Stegostoma tigrinum: one gene and its partner. The protein of the gene in region 2 interacts with the protein of the main gene of each other region in a biochemical or structural test. Links are inferred from orthologs where the notes say so. Each region holds a gene or a part of one and is shown on either strand. Other genes may lie near its edges.

Region 1 (7,960 bases), on a different chromosome or scaffold from region 2:
TCTCGCTGTTGCAGGAGGGAAGAGAAGGGGTGAGGGCATAAGTGCGGGAGATGGGTCGGACCCGTTTGAGGGCCCTGTCGACAACGGAGCTGGGGAATCCTCGGTTGAAGAAGAATTTGGACATTTCGGAGGCTCCCTGGTTGAAGGTGGCCTCATCTAAGCATATGCGATGGAAACTTGCTGACTCCCACAGCTACCTGGACTATACATCCTCACACCCCACTTCCTGTAAAGACTCCATCCCATTCTCTCAGTTCTTCCGTTACCACATAGCCTGCCACTACACACCCCCTGTTGTTAGTCACTAACAGTCCCCATTAATGACTACTCACCCTCCCAGCATGAACTTAGCAACTCCTTTGTCTGTCCAACTGTATTTATCTCTCTTTGGGCTCTACTCTATCGTTTACTCCCTACCCCACCCACCTCCCTATTTTCTGCATATAAACTGACGTTTTCCCGGCCACGATCCATTCTGAGGAAGGGTCACGAACCTGAAACGTTAACTCTGTTTTCTCCTTCACAGATGCTGCCAGACCTGCTGAGCTTTTCTGCAACTTTGTTTTGTAAAGGGACTTATTGTTGCAGTGTTCATGGTCACAATGTTCATGTTTTCACACATATCCATAAATTCACCACTCACAAATGGTCAGCTCAAATTAGTCAGTTTCCCTAGTCTGGACTGTTTCTATTTTTCCATTTCCTTGCCCAGTATTACTCTTTTCTTTTCACCATATGTTAATATAGACTTGGCTAAATTTAGACACCACATCTATGAAGCGCAAAATGTTTTATTTTGAATCCACTGCATCAGAGTCTAATATTAAATTTTTGAAATGTATATTGCTAAAATGAGATTCACTGTGGGTCATGATGATGTCCTCCTATTCTTTTCACATATGTTACATTTACCTCTGATCACCTTCAAATTTTTAGTGTATTCATTCTTTACTTGCATTTTTAATCAATGAGAAAATGGATGCCAATGAAATTTTAAGGAAACTAGCATTTTCTCCTTTAAACTTCTTTCAGTTGATACCAATCGCACCTGTTTAACATTTTGATTAGAGGAGATAGTCTTGATTAATGGAATACAATAATGGCTGGATTTTGTACACTGTAAATCAACTGAGTTTATAAAAACAAATGCTATGAATGCCTCGTATGCATTTAACAGATACTTTTTCTTTTATAATTCTTGTCCTTAAAGGTCTATAAATGATCAAAACCTTCATCAGTGTCTATTTCTAAACATTTGCAACCGAGCCTGTTTTTAATGGGAAGTATCAGTGCCAAAACCAGATGTAATTTTCCCTTTGGTAAGATTGTAACAGTTATATGTATCTCTACTTACATGTTTTCATGATGTAAGTTTGAGTTTCACAGAACTTAGGTAATAATTCAGAGGCCCGAGTTGATCTGGGAATGTGGGTTTAAATTTTACACACAACATGCGCTGACATTAAAATTCAAATGGTTAAAAAATCTAAAATTGGAAGTTTGTCTCAGTTGCTGTCATTTATGAAGCTATCATAAATTTTCATAAAAACCCCATCTGAGGGTCTTATGACCTGTGGTAGTGCCCATATCTCTGGACCAGAAGATCTTAGTTCTAGTTCTACCTGTTCTGGAGGTGAGTTATAACATGTCCATGGAGGTTGATTGAAAAACTTTTATGGTTTGTCTGTCTCCACTTATATGGTCTGGCCTGTGATGGTACCAGACCCACAATAATGTGCTTGTGTCTGAGCTACTCACTGAAATTACCTAGCAAGCCAATCTGTCGTACCAGACTGCAACATGAGCTATGCAACATAGGCATAAAGAATCATAAGTGTGGTGCTTTGTGACCATATTCCAGTCAGTATCAGTCAGTTCTGTCAGTAAAGGAGAGATGAAAAAAATGCTTCTATAATAACTGTACCAGTAAGTGTTTAAAAATGTATTCAGAAGCCTGCTAACTGCCAGTAGGCAGACAATATCAGACGAGTTCACTACAGCTAAACAGTTAAGTTTCGTAATTGTGATTGTTCATTCTAAACTCTGAACCATTTTATATCATATTGTTAAGGTCTCCTGTGACTAACCTAAAACGTAACTACTGATTATACACTGAGGCAGAAATGTCTGTATGCATGCACCCACTAAATTCTTCCAGAGAAGCATTAGCCCCAGTGGGTACTCTAATGATGCAACTGGATCTGGAATTCCAGGAAACTCAAGGATCATAGCCAGCTGTATTTACTAGCAAACACAGCACTAAAAACAAATTGCATCCATGCTGCACCTAAAGAATACTAAAAAGGTCCCAAGATTAAACATTAGAATTGCCAAAAGAAAATATGACAATGAGCCAAAGAAGGCTAAAGGAAACAAATCATAATATCAGAGATAGCAAGAACTGCAGATGGAGTCAGAGACAACAGTGTGGAGCTGGAGGAACACAGCAGGCCAGGCAGCATCAGAGGAGCAGGAAAGTTGACATTTCCGGTTGGGACCCTTCTGCAGAAATGAGGAGGGGGGAGGGAGCTGGGAAATAAATAGGAGGGGTGGGGCTGGGGAAAGTAGATAGGATAGTGATAGTTGAGTAGGGAGTGGTGGGGATTGGTCAGTGAGGTAGGAGAGATGGATAGGTGGAAGAGAAGATGGACAGGTTATGTCAGGTCAAGGGGATAAGATGGAGAGTTGGACTTTGAATGAGGCCGGGTGTGGGGAGATTTTAAAAATGGTGAATTCCATGTTTAGACCATTGGGCTGTAGGCTCCTGAGGCAGAATATGAGGTGTTGCTCTTCCAGTTTGCGGGTGGTGTCATTGTGACGCTGGAAGAGACCCAGGATTGACATGTCCCCAAGGAAGTGGGAGGGTGAGTTAAAATGGTTGCCAACCGTAAGGTATTGACGTTTGTCACGTACAAAACGCGGATGCTCTACGAGATGGTCTCTGAGCCTATGCTTGGTCTCACTGATGTACAGGAGCCCAATCGGGAGCAGCGCATACAGTAGACCAAGTTGAAGGGTGTGCAGGTGAACCACTGTCTGATATGAAAGGTTTGTTTTGGGCCTTGAATGGAGGTGAAGGGGGAGATATGGGGACAGATATAGTACTTGCTGCGGTTGAAGGGAAAAGTGCAGTGGGTGGTGGGGCTAGTGGGAAGTGTAGATTGGATGAGAGAGTCACTGAGAGAGTGGTCCATACGAAAGGTAGATAAGGTGGGAAGGGACACATATCTTGGGTTGTGGGGTTAGATTGTAGGTGGTGGAAATGATGGAGAATGATACTTTGGAGGTTGGTGGGGTGATATGTGAGGACAAGGGAGATTCTGTCTTTAGTTTTTTTGAGGGTGCCTATCACCATCCCACCTACCTTCCCCAGCCTCACCTCTCCACTCAATTTATTTCCTAGCTCCCTTCCCCCTCTCTGTTTCTGAAGAAGGGCCCTGACCCGAAACGTCAACTTTCCTTCTCCACTGATGCTGTCTGGCCTCATAATCTCAAGAGTTGATTTTAATTTTCTATTCAAATTCTGGAAGTTTGGAAAACATGGCAATTGTCAGGAGAAGTCTGACAGAGGTCTGTTGATTGATCTAATCTCTTTCATTGTTGACAGTCCTGCTGTGTTCTGACAATATATCCTGTTTTTATTGTACTATAAGCTACATTTGTGATGAAATATTCCTGCCTGCGGGGAATTTTGAGTGGGTTAATTTACTGGAACAGACGATATTAAGAACTTAATGCAAATATTGCCTCATTGGCTGCTGCAGGAGATTTAAATAACACATAACAACAAATCTCCCCCACAACAATAACCTGTTATTTTGTATCCGAACGTACTAACCTACAGTCCCGGTAAAATGTCCATCTAGCATTGCAAAAATAGACGTATTTATTATTTTTGAGCACTGGATGATAAGGTGTTTAAGAGAAGGATGAACTTCTAAATTCAGCTTGGATTGAGCAAATCACGAAATTGCAATAATTACGAATGGTAGGTATCTTCGCCGTTCCGATATGAGAATGAAATAGTGGGGGCGGGGTGATGCAAAAAGTTTCAACTTCACGAAAGGTCATTGATGACAAACGCGAATTTCTACTTGCCAACAAATGTTGGCTAGCCTCCTAAGCATTTCGTGCACATTTCTCTGATAATTTCTGATTTTCCTTTGCTTTAATGGAAATGCATGGGTACAAAGACAGGTATAGACCTGTTTGCAGATTTTATCCTCACTGCTGCGTATCACAAAAAAACCTTTCTTTGCTTATAAGGGATCATCAGCAATTTTCACATCCTGAGCAAGGACCACCGAACCCGCATGTTAACTAATTTCTCTCCACAGATGTTGCCAGACCTGCTGAGATTTACGAGCAATTTGTTTTTTTTATTTCCCATCCTGGGTCCTAACTTAGCAGTGTAATAATTCTATTCATGCAAAGGAAATTGAGACAATATTGTTAGTTTTAGTTTCAAAAGCCCATTATAATTTCAGCAATCATAATGTAGTTTTTCAAAGTGATGAGAAATATGCAAAATATTGCATTAAACCACAAGCAATTGCCTGCTTTCCTTTTTTTAAGCGTGGAGGGGAAATAAAAGGTTTAGTCATTTGATTGACAGCAAAACTCCCATCAATTTGGGCTCTGGCACTGGCTCGCAAATGTGAAGACGTCATCGCTGCCAGGAACTCAGATGACTTCGCAGCGCCGGCTGTTCCACGGAGCGCTCTATCCTCCCACCGATCAGCGCTTCCGGTGCCACGCGATTCTACAGGCGCGTGCGTGAATCCGGAGGGAGGGAGGCAGCGGGCGGCACTGCCGTGCGGGGGGCGTGGTACACCTCAACAGAACTTGCCGCCCCCTTCCTCGCTCCGATTGGTCGAAACCAAGCGGGAGGCGGGATGTCCCAGGAAACAGGCCGTCCGTTGATTCGTCGAGCAGGCTGTCATTCGTGGTCAGCACCGTCGGTTGTAGAGCTCCTGAAGGAGGGGGAGGGGATCACTTTTTAAAAAAAATCTTTTCGGCCGAAGTGCGTCAAGAAAAATCATCGAATCGACAGGTTTTTTTTGACATTGTATTTGAAGTAAAAAGTGGATCAAAGATCGCCGTGTTCGTGGCGTTGACGGAATTAAGAATGTCCCAGCCGTAGGTCGTGGTGTCAGAAAGTTGGGGTTGTCAGTCTGGAAACTTTTATTGCCGCAGGTACAGTATGTCTTGTATTCCTTTTTATTTGTAGCAGGCCTAGACACCCCGTCAACAAAATGCCAAGCTGAAACTTGCAGCAAGTCTTGAGTTACCAAGTAATTTAACAGGTGGAAATAAAACGAAGCATTTTGACAAGAGGGGGTTTGGGCCCGAAATGTTGACTTTCCTGCTTGTCTGATGCTGTTTGACGTGCTGTGTTTTCCCAGCCTCACACCAAGAGACAAAAGGCACAGTGACAGATGAAATCCTGTGGATTTTTGTCTCCCAGGCTGCTGAATCTTATCCACAATCAGTGTGACACAGGGATGTGGCAGTTACTGATTTCCAAATGGATCATGTATTGAAAGCATACAAGGCTTTTGGGCTTCTGTATTAAGTCTTTTAGAAGAGCAGTCTGTTCCGAGGGAAATGGATTGTTAACGCCTGACTCGTCTTTCTCCACCGCGCTTCCCCCCCCCCCCCCCCCCCAAAAAGGCACAAAATGTAGGAGATAGCACTTATTAACTGAGCTGTTGTTCTTCAGCGGCCGCTAACAGGAAGTGGGATGGCTGTGTTAAAGGGAAGAGTTCTGGACGCATGATTAATGTATTTATCAGTTTCTGTTGAAGGTTTAGTGCTCAACTAGCATTTTGTCACAGAATAGTGCATTTACTTTACATTTGCACGCAATAAGTACAATGTAGCAGCAATTAATCTTTGCAAATATTGTATGTTGGCTTGTAACCCTTTAACAAAGGATTATTTATGGAAACTGCGTTGTGCCATGTTTTAAATCCAAACTTGACAGTAGACCATTCTATTTACTTATGCAATTTTGATTCGGCATGTGGAGTTTTTTTTGCATTTCCATGTTGTTGATTAGCTACATCTAATTTGAATGAAACGTTAACCAGATTTAATCACAATCGATGTGGTTTATCATTGAAAAGTTTTACATAAAGGAAATAAACAAGTAAATCTGGAGATGCCTTATGACAAGGGTGGGCTGTTTGCTGACAGTGTGATGAAACAGTTCTTAACTGGGGAGACATGATGCATGCTGTTTATTGGTTGAACTGCAATGTTTTTACATTTAATTTGTTGAACTTAGATTTTCCCAAATCATTATGTATATTCAAAACAATACTAAAATGGTGGAGAACTCTGGTAACCCTATGTCTTCCCCATGATGCAGTCAGTAGCTATTTTAATTTTGGGTATTTCAATACCTGTTCTGTATTGCAATGTGGAACCAACTCTGCCACTTGTGGTTATAATAAACGATTGAACATTATTTCAGGTTTGATCATTTTGACACAAGACAATGCTGCTAGGGTTTGTTTCAGTTCTCAGCAAAATCACAATATTACTCACTTACTGATGTTTTAGTTTCTATTAGTGATACAACAAGTGCCAGACAACTCTACATGTTAGCCTCTCATAACCCTGTAAATGGATTGTTCCAAAGTCAATGCTGTGTTTGGCATCAGGAATTTTTAATTCCTGGAATATTAAGTGAAAATTCATTTTGTTTTTGAGAATGGAGAAAATATTGGCCCAGATCAAGTTAAATCTGGTGCTGTATTCAGTTGGACTAAACAATACCTTTTAAAGATAACATAATGCTTCAAATCGTATCAACAATTATTTATGAAAATGTCATGCATATTTTGTTTTTCTTGAGTCATCATTTCTTTCTGCGCACAACATACATTTTTGGGGGAAAAAAATCAGGAACACATTTTCCCTGCCTTTTAACTTTGAATTTATGTTGTCTTACTCCAGTAATTGACTCCTTTTCTGTTTTCTCTCCCTTTGATCACTTTTCTGCCGAGTGATTTTGTGACTATTCTTTATTCATTATGTTTTTAAAATTTATCCACTTACGTTGTTCACTATCAGTTCGTTATATATCTGAGTTATTTCTTTCTGCCTTTCAGTGTTAAACTGTGGTAAAGCTGCATCGAAAAAATAGAAAAATTCTGCATGTCAGCTGAAACAATCAGGTAAACTAATGTACTTTATTACTGTACCATCCCATCATGGATGTTTTTCTCAGTTCCTAGCGCTAAATATTACAAATGGCTTCAAAGTTATGTCTCTTTTAAGATGCATTAAGATTATTACTAAAAACATCATGAATTGTGTACTTTTTATATTGTAAATTTAAGAATTTGGAAAATAGTTTTGTTTGAAAGGAGGAAGTACAGTTCATAATTGTGAATTTTAAGACTGTTATGTGGGCAATCCTGGCTGAATGTAACTTCAGTTTTCCCAGATTTTAAAGCTGAATTTTAAGTAAACTGATTTTGAAACCAGAAGCAGAAGATGTAATATTTTAATTGCTTTACAAGAATGAGGAAGGATACTGCATTTTAGAGGTTATGCATTGATAGTGATTTGAAAGACCAAACTTGTTACAGTACCTTGTGAAGAGGAACATCATTGTATTTTCCAGTTCTTTAGAAAGGGGAAAAATAATTTTCTTGGTCAAATGTTTATTTTCTTACTCGTAACATCAATTGTAGTGAGATACATCACCTGAGCATAGTTTAAAAGCTGCAACTGTTTCAAAATACATAAAAAGTTGTGCATATGAAGGCTTGTTTGTTTCAAAATATCGTGATGGAAGTCTTTTTCATATGTAAATTCAAATTATTTTAGAACTTGGATTTTGAAACAAGTGGAAAGCTGGAACTGTGAATTTAAAAACAAATCAGTGTGAGAGAGTTCCTGGAGTGCAAATGAGAATTTGTTTGCATTGAGAGAGTTTTAGCAGCTG
Region 2 (7,467 bases):
TATTTTTATCCTGGACAAAAGATGGAGGGGAAAGAGAGCTTATCACATATCATCATCCAGTCTCTGACAATATTTTTATTTTCAATGCATTCAATTTCATGGAATCATTAATTCTAGACTTTGTTTAAACATTATCTAATTGCTTCATTATATTATCATGAAGCATCATGTACAGGTAATTGGAGAATGCATGGATTAGATGAGAACTTGTGATAAATTGGCTTAAAAGTTTTAAAAAAGTATGGATTTTCAGAGACATTTGGTGGATTTAGTTTTTAAGGTAAGGGGGGAAAGAATTAAAACAGACCTAAGGCACCACTTTTTCACGCAGAGGGTGATGCGTGAATGAAATGAGCTGCCAGAGGAAGTGATGGGGGTGAGTGCGATTACAACGATTAAAAGGTATCTGAATGATGACACGAATGGGAAGAGTTTAGACGGATATGGGCCAAATGCTGGGAAATGGGACTAGATTCATTTAGGATATATGGTTATCACAGACAAGTTGGACTGTGAAGGATCTGTCTCCATGCTGTACAACTCTATGACTCTTGTACACTATTCAATATTTTCATGAGTAGAATATTTTGTTTCCTGCTCAGTTGTATTGCTCAGCAAACATTCATTACTTGTCAATGCCTGTTGAGTCAGTTGTTACAAATGATTTATTCCAAACACAACCTAAGAATTCAAAATGAAAAATTGTTAGTATTAATGAGAAGGAAATTTTTGCAATGTGTGACTATTGTCATAATGCATTTGCCCTTTTGGGTCCATGGCAAGTAGTACCCTGAACGAAAGGTCAAAGAGCATCAACCACAGCTCAACAACAGCCCAACCTCCACTTCAGAGTCCGGAGGTTCAAGTCTCATTCCATTGACCAGAATACAATCTATCCTATGAGGAGAGTTCAATGCAATACTGAGAGTGTTGAGATAACACAATGTGAAGCTAAAGGAACACCCGCAGGCCAGGCAAGAAAGTTGACAGTTCGGGTTGCGACCCTTCTTCAAAAAAAGAATGATTTTCTGAAGAAGGGTCCTGATACAAAACGTCAGCTTTCCTGTTCCTCTGGCGTAAATTTGGAATCATAAAATCCCTGTGCTGTGGGAACAAGCCACTTGGCCCAACAGGTCTACACTGCCCCTCTGAAAAGCATCCTACCCAGAACTAGTCCCCTAACCATGTATTTCCCATCTCGAACACTCCTAGCCGAAACATCCTTGGGCAGTATAGCATAGCCAATCCACCTATCATACATAATAATAAAATGTGAGGCTGGATGAACACAGCAGGCCAAGCAGCATCTCAGGAGCACAAAAGCTGACGTTTCGGGCCTAGACCCTTCATCAGAGAGGGGGATGGGGGGAGGGAACTGGAATAAATAGGGAGAGAGGGGGAGGCGGACCGAAGATGGAGAGTAAAGAAGATAGGTGGAGAGGGTGTAGGTGGGGAGGTAGGGAGGGGATAGGTCAGTCCAGGGAAGACGGACAGGTCAAGGAGGTGGGATGAGGTTAGTAGGTAGCTGGGGGTGCGGCTTGGGGTGGGAGGAAGGGATGGGTGAGAGGAAGAACCGGTTAGGGAGGCAGAGACAGGTTGGACTGGTTTTGGGATGCAGTGGGTGGGGGGGAAGAGCTGGGCTGGTTGTGTGGTGCAGTGGGGGGAGGGGATGAACTGGGCTGGTACACCTCCTCCCACCCACCCACCTGCAAATATTCCATCCCCTATTCCCAATTCCTCCGCCTCCGCCGCATCTGCTCCCACGATAAGACATTCCACTCCCGCATATCATCCCAGATGTCCAAGTTCTTTAAGGACCGCAACTTTCCCCCCACGGTGATTGAGAACGCCCTTGACCGCGTCTCCCGCATTTCCCGCGACACATCCCTCACACCCCGCCCCCGCCACAACCGCCCCAAGAGGATCCCCCTCGTTCTCACACACCACCCTACCAACCTCCGGATACAACGCATTATCCTCCGACACTTCCGCCATTTACAATCCGACCCCACCACCCAAGACATTTTTCCATCCCCTCCCCTGTCTGCTTTCCGGAGAGACCACTCTCTCCGTGACTCCCTTGTTCGCTCCACACTGCCCTCCAACCCCACCACACCCGGCACCTTCCCCTGCAACCGCAGGAAATGCTACACTTGTCCCCACACCTCCTCCCTCACCCCCATCCCAGGCCCCAAGATGACATTCCACATTAAGCAGAGGTTCACCTGCACATCTGCCAATGTGGTATACTGCATCCACTGTACCCGGTGCGGCTTTCTCTACATTGGGGAAACCAAGCGGAGGCTTGGAGACCGCTTTGCAGAACACCTCCGCTCAGTTCGCAACAAACAACTGCACCTCCCAGTCGCAAACCATTTCCACTCCCCCTCCCATTCTCTTGATGACATGTCCATCATGGGCCTCCTGCACTGCCACAATGATGCCACCCGAAGGTTGCAGGAACAGCAACTCATATTCTGCCTGGGAACCCTGCAGCCATATGGTATCAATGTGGACTTCACCAGTTTCATAATCTCCCCTTCCCCCACTGCATCCCCAAACCAGCCCAGTTCATCCCCTCCCCCCACTGCACCACACAACCAGCCCAGCTCTTCCCCCCCACCCACTGCATCCCAAAACCAGTCCAACCTGTCTCTGCCTCCCTAACCGGTTCTTCCTCTCACCCATCCCTTCCTCCCACCCCAAGCCGCACCCCCAGCTACCTACTAACCTCATCCCACCTCCTTGACCTGTCCGTCTTCCCTGGACTGACCTATCCCCTCCCTACCTCCCCACCTACACCCTCTCCACCTATCTTCTTTACTCTCCATCTTCGGTCCGCCTCCCCCTCTCTCCCTATTTATTCCAGTTCCCTCCCCCCATCCCCCTCTCTGATGAAGGGTCTAGGCCCGAAACGTCAGCTTTTGTGCTCCTGAGATGCTGCTTGGCCTGCTGTGTTCATCCAGCCTCACATTTTATTATCTTGGAATCTCCAGCATCTGCAGTTCCCATTATCTCTCCCCACCTATCATACACATCCTTCAGCTGTGGGAGGAAACCCACGTAGACGCGGACAGTCGCCCGAGGCTGGAATCGATCCTCGCGTCCCTGGCGTTGTGAGGCAACAGTACCAACCACCGAGCCACCGTCCATTTAGAAATTCACATATTCGTTAAACAGCCCTTTTCTGCTTTTGGTGGGTTAGTGTGCAATAGTGTCTGCATAATCTAATATAAATATTAGCTAGAAAGTTTTAAGTCGACAAAACCTAGTAGCAGAATTCTTCAGAAGGATCCTGACCCGGCTTTCCTGCTCCTCTGCTGCTGCCTGGTCTGCCGTGTTCCTCCAGCTGCATACTGTGTTATCTGTGACTCCAGCATCGGCTGTTCTTACTGTCTCTGACTGTGAGAGTGTTGCCCTGCCAAAAGTGCTGAGATGTTAAAAGTTGGCTGGTCTTGCCCTTTCAGATGGATGTAAACGATCTGAGGGGGCTACTTTGAGGTGTAGGATTTCTCTCCACTGTCCGTCTTGTCATCAAAACAGACTAATTGTCCTCCAACGAATTGGTGCTTGTGGGATCTTACTATGCGTAGTTTGGTTGTTGGATCTCTCTCCTTACATTATTAACCACAGTTCCAATGTGCTCTTTTACCTGTAAAGCGTTTTTAGGTCATGAAAGGTGTGATATAATTGCAAGCTTTTTGTTCTTTTTCTGATTGTTAGCAATGATCGCAATTCCCGTGGCGTCGACGTGATTATCGACACAGCATTAAGGGCTCGGGATTTTGGCTCAAATATTAAAGGCTTTAGATACTGGATAGAAAAACAGAAAGTGCTGGAAAAGCTCAGCAGGTCTGACAGCACCTGTGGAGAGAAATCAGAGTTCACGTTTCGGCTGTTCAGTGAAGGTCACTGGACCCGAAACGTTAACTCTGCTTTCTCCCAACAGATGCTGCCAGACCTGCTGAGCTTTTCCAGCACTTTCTGTTCTATCTTCTGGCTTCCAGCATCCGCAGTTCTTTCGGTTTTTCGATGCTGAATGAAACATTATCCTAGTTTTTAGTATTTCAGTGATCGCGATGAGAAAAGACAAAACGATGGTCAAACAGGAATAAAGGGTGGGAGAGCAACAATGGTAAAACGGTGAAATGAAACTGAAAGGGAGAAAGTTGTAAGTCGTGTGCATAAAAATGAGACATGAGTAAAGGGTAACCAAAGCACTAGGAGAATATGACCAAAAAGTGGATGCAGAAAGGATAAATCAGACCAAGACACAAAGAGAACAGGCGCTATATTGTCTATCGCTTTCCCAATGTCCAGAATTGTACTGGATTTCATCTCCTACAGCCACGAGTGGAGCTGTTTGCTTTAATTCCGTGGATCGAAAAAAAAAGGTGGCTTCTGCTGTGAAGCGTTTCCGGAGCAACACTCCCCAATTGCAGCACCAACAACTTCCCACCCCCAGCCACCCTCCTCCACCCCAAACACACCCACCCAGAGCAAACCCCCCCGCAAATCGGATTGAACAGATCCGCGAGCCGGGCACCAGAGGAGTTTTCCGTGACGTGCCCATTCTCCCCGGTTCACTCCCAGCCCTTGCCTGGGGGAACCAAGCGAGACATCAACCATTTCCAAGTGCGGATTGTAGGGGAATCTGCTGCTTCTCGGCTGTCACCGGCTTGGGCAGGAGGTCTGTTCGCTCTCACCGTTCCTCCTCCCTCCTCACCTTCCAGGCTGGCGCTGGGTTCGTGAAGCCACATCTAACCTTTCGGTGTTTTCAATGAGCGTCTCAGAGGAGAGGAGGGGAGACACGTGTACGGAGCAGCTGTAGGTGCAGAGGCGGAAGGTAAGTGACCCATTGTGCAGTCGGTGAATGAAACTCCACCAGATCCCACCGTGGCCTGGGGGGGGCGGGTTAGCTCGGCTGGACAGGAAACAGGAGCCGGGCACAGCTCGGTCTTTAATAAATCGTAAGGAATTCCACCCCCACCCCCTTTCTCTACTTGATTTCTCTTTCTAAGTCGAGACAAACAAACCCCCTGTCCACCCCCTCCCCTTTTTATTTTGATTTACTAGCAAGCGGAAGTCTCTGACCCTCTCTCTTATGCCTGTGCTGTAAAGTTTGGTTCGCCCCTTGCATATTAACTGTCCTTTCACTGCGTCGGAATGTCGTTCGACCGAAAACGAAAGAGGCCAGGCCAACATCTCTTACTGTGCAAGTTCCCCTTGCCCCTGGCTGAGTGAAACCCCAGTTTTTCTCACGTCAAATAGTCAGCCGTTTACAATCAATAGCCAGTTCATGAAAGGTGACTGGAAAGCAGATGCTGCACAGCCAGATATTGGGAGGAAACCCTTTCAATACCCACAACTGCAAACTTTCAAATCTTCCTTAATATTCTTGTATCTTTTTAGTTAATATTGATTTGGAGGTTGTTTATTTTTCCAATAACTGAAGATGTCCTAATTGCAATATTGACTTAATATGGTATTTAGCATTGCTAACAGTAGCATTACGAGACATGCAGTGTAGTTTGCCGGAGCGGGCAAATTATTGTCCTGATCCGTATGAACATGATGCGCGGTTTCGTGCTGGAAATGTACATTTTCACCGTCTAAAGCAGCTCTCCGACGTCCACGGCCGGGCACTCCCAGTATCCCAGCGCTACGGGATATGCCCAATGTGTACAGCAACAAAGATAAACCAATCCACCTCAGTGATTCATTCTTCATAACTGCATCAAAAAGAAATTGTGTAAATAGTATGAAAACACCGACTAAATTGAAGGGTTGAAGTCCGTCATCCGGTGAAGCCAGACAGGAATGTGCTGGCTTTATTGAAGTGGTATCCCTGGACGATGTTTGACACCTTGTTAGGCCGATCCCATTTACTCAGTGCAGCTGGAGCTGTAGTTCTCAGCTTGGGGTTCCTGCAGTGCCAGTTTATCATTTTCTTGAAGAAAAGAGCATTTGTAACCAATGTATATTTTATTATACAATGTTATTATTGGTGTGTTTATGTATGTTGCATAACAAGACAGAACCTTTCAGGTTTTTGTCCTGGTGTTTCCTTTCTTTGGGTAGTTGATTTGGTTTTGTAAAATGTCAAGCGAAAAATCAGTCTCTCCTTTTATTGACACACCTTGTATGCACATTCCTGATGAACTGAAGACCAAAATGCACACGGTGTTCTTTGATTGAGCATTAGTAATCAGTGAAAAGAAAAGCTTGCATTTGTGTAGCAGTTTTGAGGAGCACTGGACATTGCAAAATATGTTACTGCCAGTAAGTTACTTTCAAAATTAGTGACTGTAGTAATGCAACAATCAATACAGAACAGCAAACTCTCACAAACAGTAACATGAAAGTGACCAAATATGTTTTTGTGATGTTGACTGGGGGTAAATATCAATCAAAACATCAAGGGTATTCCCCTAAAAAAAAACTGAAAGAACTGAGAATGCTGGAAATCAGAAACAAAAAGAGAAATTGCTGGAAAAACTCAGCAGGTCTAGCAGTGTCTGTGGAGATTGATTGATCTATAGTTGTCACGTACAGATATACAGTGAAAAATGTTTTTCTGCAAGCTATACAGGCAGATCGTATCACACAAAGTGTATGAGGGTAGCAGAACAGAGTGCAGAACACAGTGTTGCAGCTCAGAGAAGGTGTGAAGAGAGAGATTAGAATTAATGTTTGAAAGGTCCATTCAGAATTCTGATAACAGCAGGGAAGAAGCTGTCCTTGAACTTATTTGTACAAGTATTTAAACTTTTATATCTTTTGCCTGACGTAAGAGGGTAGAAGGGAGTATGTCCGAGGTGGCAGGGGTCTTTGATTATGTTGGTTGCTTTCCTGAGGCAGCCGGAAGTGTAGATGGAGTCTTTGGAGAGAAAACTGGTTTGTGTGATGGACTGGGTTGTGTTCATGACGCTGTAGTTTCTTGTGTTCTTGGGAAGAGCAATTGCCGTACCATTCTCTGGTGTACCCAAACAGGATGCTTTCTGTGGTGATCTATAAACATTGATAAGAGTCCCTGTGGATGTGCTGAATTTCCTTAGCCTCCTGAGAAATTGGAGATATTGTTGTGTTTTCTTGTGTCATGTCGATGTGGGTGAACCAGGATAGGTGGTTTGTGACCATCACTCCCAGGAGCTTGACACTCTCGAAAAAGCTTTAGAGTTGATGTTTCAGGTCCAGTGACCCTTCTTTAGAATGAAATAACTCTTCTTCAAAATGGTGCCATGGGACCTTTAACATCCTCATGAGCAGGGAGATGGGATCTTGGTTTAAGATACATTTGAAAGACTTGGTTCTTTTATTTTTGAACTGCCGTGCTAGATGCTGAATGATTTTGGCTGTCATTTTGTTTATGGGCGTCTTCCATGAACTACTGGAATCAAAAACACTTCTAAAATGTATTTTTATTAAACAAGATCTTTTTGGTCTGCCTCAACTTCTTTAATTTCA

Evidence for each region. The genes of interacting proteins can lie anywhere in the genome.
Region 1: the proteins of proto-oncogene tyrosine-protein kinase Src-like (region 2) and stat3 form a complex in vitro, tested with the Homo sapiens proteins (3 studies listed by BioGRID). The link is inferred for Stegostoma tigrinum from reciprocal best matches to the Homo sapiens genes SRC and STAT3.

What each region holds. Positions count from the first base shown.
Region 1 is NC_081384.1:14,624,648-14,632,607, reverse strand, and holds the start of stat3 (signal transducer and activator of transcription 3), read left to right. Parts: upstream 1-4,940; 5' UTR 4,941-5,196; intron 5,197-7,118; 5' UTR 7,119-7,184; intron 7,185-7,960. UniProt on the Homo sapiens protein: Signal transducer and transcription activator that mediates cellular responses to interleukins, KITLG/SCF, LEP and other growth factors. Once activated, recruits coactivators, such as NCOA1 or MED1, to the promoter region of the target gene.
Region 2 is NC_081372.1:20,567,357-20,574,823, reverse strand, and holds the start of proto-oncogene tyrosine-protein kinase Src-like, read left to right. Parts: upstream 1-4,462; 5' UTR 4,463-4,846; intron 4,847-7,467. UniProt on the Homo sapiens protein: Non-receptor protein tyrosine kinase which is activated following engagement of many different classes of cellular receptors including immune response receptors, integrins and other adhesion receptors, receptor protein tyrosine kinases, G protein-coupled receptors as well as cytokine receptors.